Linked DNA regions of Ovis aries. The protein of the gene in region 2 interacts with the protein of the main gene of each other region in a biochemical or structural test. Links are inferred from orthologs where the notes say so. Each region holds a gene or a part of one and is shown on either strand. Other genes may lie near its edges.

Region 1 (3,011 bases), about 160 Mb from region 2:
GCACAAATAACATTCTTTTGGAAACATTCAGGAGATTCATGTCATTTAAGATCTCTTTAAAATAGATTGTTATAAATTAGTGTGCTAGACTACTTTTGATAAAACCAAAGTCCTTATTAGTAAAGCTCGTCACTTAAAAAAGGGAAGATGAAAACTCTTCCACATTCTTCTTGGCCAAAAGGCAAAATTCACATTTCTGAAGGATCAAAATGAATGTAAATAGCCAGATAGCAGGAACACATTGGACCTGGCTCAGGGTACCCCAATCACCTACATCCCTACACCCTATTGGCCAGATGTTCCAGGTCTGGCCATGAGATTCTCTGAGGCGCCACATCAGATCATTGTACGCAGCGCACTCCCAGTTTCTCATGCCTCTCGCATTTCAGTGCACGTGTGCATGCTCAGTCTTTGACTGGATTGTAGCCTGCAGGTTCCTCTATCCATGGGATTTTCCAGGCAAGAATACTGGAGTGGGTTGCCATTTCCTCCTCTAGGAGATCTTCCAGACCCAGTAATTGAACCTGCATGTCCTATATTAGCAGGTGGATTCTCTACCATTGAGACACCTGGGCAGCCCCACAGAAACCACTTAGTCAAAATAATCTACTCTATCATTTATTAAAATAAGTATATAGTACCTCAATTTTTCTTATCCAAAGAACTTAAATAATTTCTTTTTTATAGTCTGGGCTTAGGTGGCACTAGTGTTAAGGAAAATGCCTGCCAATGTAGGAGATGTAAGAGACACAGGTTTTGATCCCTGGGTCAGGAAGAACCCCTGGAAGAGGGCATGGCAACCCACTCCAGTATTCTTTCCTGGAGAATCCCATGGACAGAGGAGCCTGGCAAGTTATAGTATATAGGGTTTCAAAGAGTCAGACATGACTGAAGTGACTTAGCACACAGTCAGTCTAAAAATTCATCAATTTAGACAGATTAATATTTCTATGCTACACCCATTGCCCTCTTCCTCCTACAAAAAAAGTGGTCCAACCTAACTGCTTCTAATACTTGAAAGAAAACACTGTGGCTTTTGGCTGCTCGAGTAGAAAATATGAATACTCTGGAACTTGCAACCCTCACTCCTAGAAGTCCGTGAGACTGCAGGAGTGATGGACGGGAGTTACTAGAAGATCAGCGGAGGACAGGTTCTACTCAGTAAGTGTATCCCTAGCCTTTGGTGTAAAACCTAAGTGTTGGGAATAAAATGCTCTGCAGTAGTAATTTGAATAATCTGTAACCAAATGTTTAGTAAAGCCACAAGCATTCTTCCTTCATTGTTCATGAAATCCACATACTTTTCTTAAAGAGAAAATGAGGAAAAAATCTAATTCTAGTTTTTCCTAGTGGTAGATTATACTACTAATGTCATTTCCAAAAACAATAGACTACCATATATAGTTTATGTAATAGTCTTATTGTTGTTGTTTAGTCTCTAAGTCATGTCTGACTCTTTGTGACCCCATGGACTGTAGCTTGCCAAGCTCCCCTGTCCATGGGATTTCCCAGGCAAGAATATTGGAGTGGGTTTCCATTTCCTTCTCCAGGCAATCTTCCCATCCCAGGGATCACGTCCATATCTCCTGCATTGGCAAGCAGATTCTTTATCATCGAGCCATCAGGAAAGCATATGTAATAGTCTATTTCAAAACAATAGACACCTACAATATATGACATATAATAGTCTATTATTTTATATACATACACATTTTTAATGCACATATTATCTTATTTATTTTTTAATTCATTTATTTTAATTGGAGGTTAATTACTTTATAATATTGTATTGGTTTTGCCATACATCAACACGAATCCACCACAGGTATACACGTGTTCCCCATCCTCAACCCCCCTCCCTCCTCAAACCCCCTCCTTCCTCCCTCCCCATACCATCCCTCTGGGTCGTCTCAGTGCACCAGCCCCAGGCATCCAGAAACACCAATACAGTATACTAACGCATATATATGGAATTTAGAAAGATGGTAATGACAACCTTGTATGTGAGATGTTATTTAATATTAACTTTATTATAAGACTTTACAAATGAACTGTCCTTGTCCTCTTCTGACTCTCATTTTCTCAAAGGTCACATAAGATTTGAATAAAGCAATAAATACATATTTATTGTCTATGGAAAATGTAATCTCACTCTTTTGTCAAGGTTTTTATTCCAAGACTTTTCTGTATTATTTTCTCTTTTTAACTCATTTCTTCTCATTTCCTACCATTCCAATATTCCACCTGAACTCCAAATGACCTTTCTCTTCATTGATCTATCGGTAAAGCCTGTTCATTCTAGAATCAGTACTGCTTACATGGAATAATGTCCTCCTCTTCCTTCAATAATCCCAGCCCTACTCATTCCATTCATTTATAACTGTATGATTACACCTTCCTCATGTTCTCTCTTACCATTTCCCATCTTTCCCACGTAGTATCAGTAGAGACACCACAGAAATTTTCTGAATTACACAGAATTGGTCCTTAGTATTTGCCAGATAGAAAAAATATCTCCCTTCACTTGAGGAGACTGTTTCTAATGAATCAGTTGGCACCTGAAACCTCAGGGAATAGACCTGTCAACTGTGAACATAGATCTCAGATTTTTATTCAGTTCCCATTTGAAAAAGTGAAAGTCAATTGGGTTTAAAGTTTCTATGCTTCATATTTTAAAGGAACTGAATTCAATTGATTTAAGAGCAATAAAACCAACATGATCTAAGGAAGCAAAAAAACTAGACCTTAAAAAATGTCAGAAAGCGTTTAATAAGGTCTAAGAGGGACAGGGCCTCTCTTACCTGAAATAAGAAAGATCACGCCCCCAAAGACAGCCATCCGCATCTTCTGTGCCTCGTCGTCTTCCATGCACTTCATACACTTCATGCCAAGGGTGGCCACAAAGATGGCTATTAGTCCCAGCAGGATGCCGATCACCATCAAGGCACGGGTTGCTTGCAGAGTGCCTGACAAAACACATTTTAGAACATGTAACAATTATGTCTAGACCA
Region 2 (3,654 bases):
AGGTTAATTCAAAAGATTACAGAAAGGCCACCATTCAAATGGGGCTACCTGTGACAAACAAGTATTTTATTGCTTTGGTGAATAATTAATTGTATTTATTACATGAGAACTTCATAAATGTAATCAACTAATAAAAGCATCACATAAAAATAATTATTAGTCAAATTAAGGGGATAGAGCAATTAAATCAAAAAAGGAATTAGGTGTAGAACATTATTTAACTATCACACCTTAAATAGATTCTTTTTAACTTTCAAACTCAAGTTCTATTTTTTAGGGCACTTGTTAGAAGGCAAGGTGAATAAAGGAATCTAGCACATCTAAAAATTCAACTATCATTTGATTTTAATAGATACTAAGGATGAAATGGGATTACACTTCCAAATGTTTTCCTAGACTTTCCAAATCATAATTTTCCAAATTACATTTGGATTTTATATATATACATAAATTATATATACTAAATTTCCAAATTATATATACTAGATTTTCCAAATTATATTAGTTCTAACTCCCATTAATTCTGTTTGATATAAAATTTAAAATAATTTCAAAGGAATTATATTACTTCGGCAGACACATTATTTTTCCTTCTATGATCAAAACTATGAGAATCTCTTTCCTTACAAGTGTACAGATGTGTCAGACTGGAGTCATTGTCTTAAAAACTATCCTCACCAGGCACATGGATATTTTTCTTATGTAATCTTAAACAAATTTCCAACTCACAGATTAGAAAATAGTATCAACTCCTCCTAACAATGTAAAAACACAAGCAACCAAAACACAGAGTAACACATTTTAGAGACAAAAAGTGTGAGTGTAGGTTTCTTTTTTAACCTCCAACAATAGAAATAAAACTAAATAGTCCCTTGACAAGATATAACTTTACCTGGGCCATCTGTTGTATGACTGAGTTAAAATCTTCATTTCCTGACTTTGGAGTCCAAGAAAATAACCCAGATACAGTCAAGTTATTAGAGGACCTGTGGGCATTCCCATTAGTAATGGCACCATCCGTGAACACCAATAACCCTTTCCTAGAAAAATCAAAGTTGGCTGAACAATCTGAGGGTATATGGCTGAGCTGTTGGAGGAAAAAAAGAGAGAATTATCAACAGAAACCTACAGATAAGAAGTATTTCTATTTATTAAATATTATATTTTATCTCTCACATGTATAATGGCATGCTAAATATAGACATGTGAAAGAAATGATACAGATACATGAATCTGTGTTTATAAGGCTATAAATGTTTTATTTAGTATTATACAAAATGTTTAACTTATTCTCATTTCCCGCCTTCTACCGTTACCTCACGTTAATATAGCATGTAATATAGCTCATCATACTTTACATACACAGACATGTCCAGTCACATAAACATGCATGTAAGGCCCTGAGCCCTACTGCATTTATCTATACATTTCTGTGGCTCAGTTGGTAAGGAATCTGCCTGCAATGCAGGAGACCCAGGTTTGATCCCTGGGTCAGGAAGATCCCCTGGAGAAGGAAATGGCAACCTACTCCCGTACTCTTGCCTCGAGAATTCCATGGACAGAGGAGCAGGGCAGGCTACAGTCTATGGGATCGCAAAGAGTTGGAGGCAACTGTGCGACTAACTTTCACTTTCATACATTCCCACGTGCGGAAACACAAAAGATCTGCAGGTAGTATATTCAAAGGTAACTCAGCATTTATTAAGTGCTTGCTATAAGTAAAGTACTATACCCAAACTCCTATATAGTATCTCACTTAATCTTTACAATAGCCCTAGAGATACTCTTATTTCATTTTGTCAACATGGAAACTGAAGCACACAGGGATTAAACAACCTGCCCATTAGTAGCAAATGTATTGCAAAGCCACTTAAACACTCGTGGGGGGAAAAAAAGGTGGGAAATTAAGGAAAAAGAAAAACAGAGGTTAATTTTTAAAATATCATTGGCTGAGGGACTTCCCTGTTGGTCCAGTGGTTAAGATTAAGACTCTGCACTCCCAATATAGGGAGCATGGGTTCAATCCCTGGTCAGGGAACTAAAATCTGTCATGCCTCATGGTGCGACCAAATTAATTAACTGATTGATTTAAACATACCGCTGGCTGATACAGGTACCAACACAATAGAACAAAGGAAATATCAAGAACAAATGTCATAAGACTCACAGAAAAAAATCAACACCCATAAAAACTCTATGAAAACACAGATATGAAAAATCACATGGATTTTATAGCTGACTGAATAAAATATGATTATTTACATAATAACTGCACACTAAATAAACATAAAAGATTGTTATTATGATGGAACAGTTGCTTAAGTCCAATTTTAGTCCAGTATGAGTGATAGATTTGTAGGGATCTTTCCCAACTTCTATTGCCACCAATAGCATTCACTGCTGTGATGTACTCATTCCATTATCAGAATATAGAAGCTTCAATATGGGGAGTGCTAAAATTCTGGTATAAATTTTGATCTAGAAGAAGTAATTCACAGAAAGACATATGTGCAGAATTTAATCCTTAGTTAGTTATAGAAAAATCACTTGCTAAATATTTATGGATAGGCATTTTGGTTTATCAGCAAAAAGCATTTTTTTCTGCAAATTTTGTTAATTTTCACATAACAACTCTGCTACATTAACTACATTTAAAATTCTGCCCATATTTAATCTATAAGATAGCTACTATTCAAGCTCAGCATCTAGAATAGATTATTTAAAATCAATTTGCCATCCCTGACCCCAAAATAGAACAACCAAAAGAGTAGGTAAAACTCTTAATATCACTCCAAGCAGAGGGGCTATGTGTCCTGTAATTCTGAAGAAAATGTTGAGAATTTTCAAAGCATCTGAACTTTACATAAATAAGTATAAAAACTAGAATCCAAAGCCAAACACAAAACTTATTATCAACATTTTTAAACTATCTATGCCAATACTACCTGCACACAAGTCCCAATACAGCCTCTTTGCAGAATTAACAGTAGACTGTTTGTATCTATTTCCTTCTATCTTTCTTTGCTGGTTTGAATAATAGCAACAGGTAAAACCTTGATGGGTAACTTACTTGCCCCTTCAGTTGCTTGATGGACTGTTGAAGTGTGAGTATCTGGTTGAAAAGGGGGCTCTTTAGTGTCTCATAGAAAAGAGAGAGCTTTTCATTCTGTGAAGTGTCACCCTTCTCCTGCAATTTCATTTTCAAGCGATCAAGAACTTGCAGGACCTGCAGTTTATCTTTTTTAAAAAGGATAATGAGTACAAGTTAAATCTCATCTTACATTCCATTTTTAAATAATTAATTTAGTGAAAGAAGTATATATCTAGTTTACCTGTAGCAGGATTTTCAGGCATTTTGAATTACTGTCTTCAATCACTTTTAAAGAAACCTAAAGAAAACAATTTAAATACGAGAAAAATTATTTTCCATCAGTGTATACAATTCTACAGTCCTATAGAAAAGTCAAAGAAAACCTCAAGAACATTCTCCATCAAAATATTTCATTCAAGAAATCCAAATTAAAAGCCATACACAGCCACTAAAATGGCTAAAACTTGAAAGCAAAACAGATCATTGTAAGTGGTGACAAAAACGTGAAGTAACTGGGACTCTGAGACATTGCTAGTAGGAACGTAAAATGGCACAAGCACTTT
Region 3 (4,184 bases), on a different chromosome or scaffold from region 2:
AGGCTCCAGGGAGGTAGGAAGCTGAGGAGAAGAGGGGAGCAAAGCCAAGGGCGGGGCCTCATGAGCCCTCCTGGGAGCCAGGTCTGCTTTGCACCACCAAGATTCAAATCCTCCAGTGTGCACTTGACAGGCTGTGGTGGTACTTCTCCAGCCTCATCTTCCCCATCTGTACAATGGGTACCTCCCTCACCCCCGCTGCCCCATCTTTCAGTGCTGAGGTGTGAGAAGGGGGCCTGGAGTCTCCCACAAATAGCAGTAGGAGCCTCTGGAGGGACGGCAGTGGTTGTAGTGAGAAGTAATAATAATGACCTTTCTCCTCTGTGTAACATTAATAAGCAACACTATCTCATGAGCTGCCAGCGAGCACTATGCAGTACCCATTCCTTTACTCCTGAGGACCTCAGGAAGCGGCACTGCTTCTGTTCCTGCCTTCCTGCCTCACAGGGGAGGAAAAGGAGGCCCAGAGAGGTTCAGTAACTTACTAGAGGTCACACAGCACTACGTGAACCTTGGCAGTCTGTCCCATGCCTTTGCTCTCAACTACCTGGTCCCAGCATCCTTCTGTTTTTTGTTTTTTTTTTTTTTCCTTCTAAACTTATTTTTTGGAACAAAATCTTTTGGAACAAAATCACTTGCTCTGATTTTATGTTTGGTGTCATTAAATGATTCCCTTGCATTTTGAGTTCCTGGCTCTATTTTAAGAATCAGCCCCCAGGGAATCACAGCCCCTGAGGGGGCAGGCACAGGTGGCTGTGGCTTGCTCTGGCTTGTGCAGGTTCACCTCCATGGATACTGGCAGGCTCTCTGACACCCATAGGGTCACAGCCCACCTCAGCTTAGTTCACCCCCAACCTTTCCCTGGCTGACCCCTGTGCCTGGACACCCTCCCAACATGCATACAGCTGTCCCCTGACACTTGGGTCTCAGCTCAAATGCCACCTCCCCAGGAAGACCTCCCAGACTAGCCAGTCTTCTCTGGCTGGCATCCTACCATTCTTCTGCTTTATTTATTAGGTTTTACTCATGGCATCCAAAACCATCTTCAATTACCCTGTTTAATCATCAATTTGTGATTTTCTGATCTTTCCTCTTGGGTGTGAAGGCTAGCCGGGGCTGTCTCTCCGGGTACTTTGCTGATTGGTCCTCCAATCAGCCTCCCTTCCAGGCTTTTGCACATCCTGTACTCCCTGGCAAACTCCTTTTCATCCTTCACAGCCCCAGGGGCACTGTGTCTTCCTTCAGGAAATAAGTCCTCAACACCCCAGCAAGACACACACATTTCTTGCCTCTGATTATTGAGGCCTGGGAGGTCCCAGTCCACCTGTCTCCCCTACACCCGTGAGTCTGGTGATTCCTGGTAGGCAGGGTTGGGGGCCCTGGGACCCCATCATGGTCCCCACAGGACAGCGTGCGGGGGGTAGTTTGAGGAATGCACTAATGGTAGAATAAAAGGCTGATTTTGCCAGGAACTCTAGGTTCTCTGGGAGACAGTGGAGGACAGAGGAGCCTGATGTGCTGCAGTCCATAGGGTCGCAAAGAGTAAGACACGACTTAGCAATTGAACAACCAGCACCTGCATGTCTGTCCAGAGTTCCTAGCCTCCTCAGCCCCGCCCCCCTCCAGGTGAGCTCCGAGGGGGCGGGGCCCGGGCCTACATCCCCGCCCTTTGCCACGCGCGGGACAGAAACACCGGATACTAGAGGCCTCCAGAGGGGACTGGGCTTACCGAGTCACACCGGCCCGGGCACGTGGTTGCCAGGCTGCTGATCACTCTCCCCCTCCCCGCCCCCACCTCTGGGAACCACAGCGGGGGTCGGAGTGGGGGAGGGGAGGGGACCACAAATACTCGAGTTGAGGACGGGATTCTGGGAGCTGCTTCTTGCTGCCTGGAAGGAGAAAGAACTTCCCGGCCCTACAGCCTCGGGTGGTCTGGCCTGGGGCCAGCCACAGATCTCCCAAGCCTGTTCACCTGTTTACCCCTCTGGGGCCCGACCTGAGACGCAGAAGGGTGGGTGTGAGAAAGCCGGTTCAAGCTCCAACACTAGAGAACGAAGCACATCCCCCTCGCCACAGAGCCACGGGGATTCCCGGCCCCAGCCCCGATCGGCCTGCCCGATGCAGCAAAACTGGGCTCTCAAGCCAGATCCCCCAAGTTAACGACTCTGTATACAGCAGACACTCAATAAATGGTGATCCCCTCTTTCACAGCCTCACTGCCTTAGCCAAAGACGTTCCAGCCCACAAAGTCCCTGCCTACCGTCCCACCCTTAGTGCTCAAGCTCAACTCGGCCCATCCCCCTGGGAAACTGCACCCCTACTATGTACCAGGAGCATTTTCCCCCCCTCCTAGGATCCTCCCCACGCCCTTCTATAAAGTGACCATCACCCACTTTACAGACGAGGTTCTCAAAGGCGTGGACTCACTGGCTGGCTCAAAGTTACACAGAAAAGTCGGGATTTGAACGCAGGTCGGCCTGCTAAGGGGCTTCCCAGGTGGAGCTGGTGGTAAACATCCCGACTGCCTATACAGGAGACATAAGAGACGCGGGTTCCATCCCTGGGTCGGAAAGATCCCCTGGAGAAGAGCATGGGACGGAGAAGCCTGGCGGGCTACAGTCCCCTGGGTTGCTAACAGTCATACACAACAGAAGTGACCTAGTACACACACGAACGCTATCTGTTAAGGGAGGCAGACCCGGGGCAGAGGGAGCCCCCGGAGGCAGCGGTGGAGGCCAGTGGGTGCAGACGCTCCGCCCGTGCTAGCTTCCACATTCTCCTGGGCCTCAGTTTCCCCATCTGTTACCTAGGACGGGGGTGATCTGGAGTCCCGGTCCCGGAACCAGCCCCGACCCCACCTCGGTCCCCTCCCCCCTCCAGCCCTCCGCGGGCTACTCGCCTGGAATCTCACCGCCATAGTCCCCCCTGGGGGCTGTCCAGCGCCTCTGGCCAAGGGCGGGGGGCCTAGAAACAGTCAAAACTGGACCCCACCCTGGGGTGCGAGAGGAGGCTGGGGAGGGTCGCGGCGAAGCAGGTGTCCAGCACTTGCCCTCCTCCCGCCCGCTCCGCCGCCAGGGCTGCACCTGCACCTCTTCCTCCTGAGTCCCCTCCCGGCCCCGCCTCTGTCCCGACACGCCTCCGGGACGCCGCCCTGGCTGCCTTCGCTCCCACCGCGCCACCCCTCCCAACACAGGATCCAGGCCCTGGGGTGGGAATTCCAGGCCGCGTTTTCCGCCCAGCTGCGCACTAGCCGGCGGCCGGGTTGGAGACCCGCCAGGGGAGGCTGCAAGAAAGACCAGGCAGGGATTAAGGCCGCGTTTGGAACGGAGCCTGCGCTTTGGAAGGGGTTTCATCCTGGAAAACCTATGCGTGTTGAGATTCTGTAGAGAGACGTGTTATGATTAGGAGCTAGCCAAGGGTCAGACACCTCCCAAGAGTAGGGCTGATCTTTCTCAGTCACCTCATCTTCAGCAAGTTAACCCGATTTTATTTGATTTTTTCATTTTGGGGAGTTTATTTTAGAGAGGAAACTGAGGCCCAGAGAAACCTGGGGTGGGGTGCGGGGTGTGGACTTTCTGAAGGTGTAGGCTGATATGAGACTTCCCTTTTGATGTCCCCTACAGTGGAGGATCCAGAAGGTGCACAGCAGTCACCTCTGGGCCTGGCCAGAATCCAGTATTATCAGCCTGTTTTCCCACCTAGCCCTGGGTTGGGTCCCCAGCTAGGAAGGGCACACAGCGGGGACAAGGAAATTCTTTAAGATTCTTGGAGTAAAGGTCATGCTTCTTTCTCCACCCCCTGACTCACCCTCAAGGGACCTGTCTAGGAATAATCGGACCAGAGCAGGAAGCCCTCTACCTGGGGGTGTGGAAGGGAGAAAGTCACCTGGGTGGGTGGAGCCACCATTGGCTCTACCCTCACATTCCTTCTTGCTTAAAAAAAATAGACCCTGAGGCCTAACTGTTTCCTTGCCCCACCCAGGTCAAGGTTGAAGGGGCAAACCTGGGCATAGACACCCCTTTCCAGCCTCATCCAGTCAAGACTGGGCAGAAAGAAGCTCCAGATTAGGGGAAGAGGGGAGGCAGAGGGGGAAATTAGGGATCAGGGAAGTCTTCCTGGAGGAGGGGGCATTGCCACTGGGGTTTAGAACGTTGAATATTGCTGTTGTTGGTCAGTCACTAAGTTGT

Evidence for each region.
Region 1: the proteins of PATJ (region 2) and CLDN1 form a complex in vitro, tested with the Homo sapiens proteins (2 studies listed by BioGRID and IntAct, with this or other methods). The link is inferred for Ovis aries from reciprocal best matches to the Homo sapiens genes PATJ and CLDN1.
Region 3: the proteins of PATJ (region 2) and TJP3 form a complex in vitro, tested with the Homo sapiens proteins (2 studies listed by BioGRID and IntAct, with this or other methods). The link is inferred for Ovis aries from reciprocal best matches to the Homo sapiens genes PATJ and TJP3.

What each region holds. Positions count from the first base shown.
Region 1 is NC_056054.1:197,862,387-197,865,397, reverse strand, and holds part of CLDN1 (claudin-1), read right to left. Parts: intron 2,967-3,011; coding exon 2,802-2,966; intron 1-2,801.
Region 2 is NC_056054.1:36,994,545-36,998,198, reverse strand, and holds part of PATJ (inaD-like protein), read right to left. Parts: intron 3,390-3,654; 5' UTR 3,355-3,389; coding exon 3,333-3,354; intron 3,238-3,332; coding exon 3,071-3,237; intron 1,088-3,070; coding exon 893-1,087; intron 1-892.
Region 3 is NC_056058.1:18,036,508-18,040,691, forward strand, and holds the start of TJP3 (tight junction protein ZO-3), read right to left. Parts: upstream 2,843-4,184; 5' UTR 2,590-2,842; coding exon 2,425-2,589; exon of another isoform or gene 2,391-2,424; intron 1-2,390. UniProt on the Homo sapiens protein: TJP1, TJP2, and TJP3 are closely related scaffolding proteins that link tight junction (TJ) transmembrane proteins such as claudins, junctional adhesion molecules, and occludin to the actin cytoskeleton.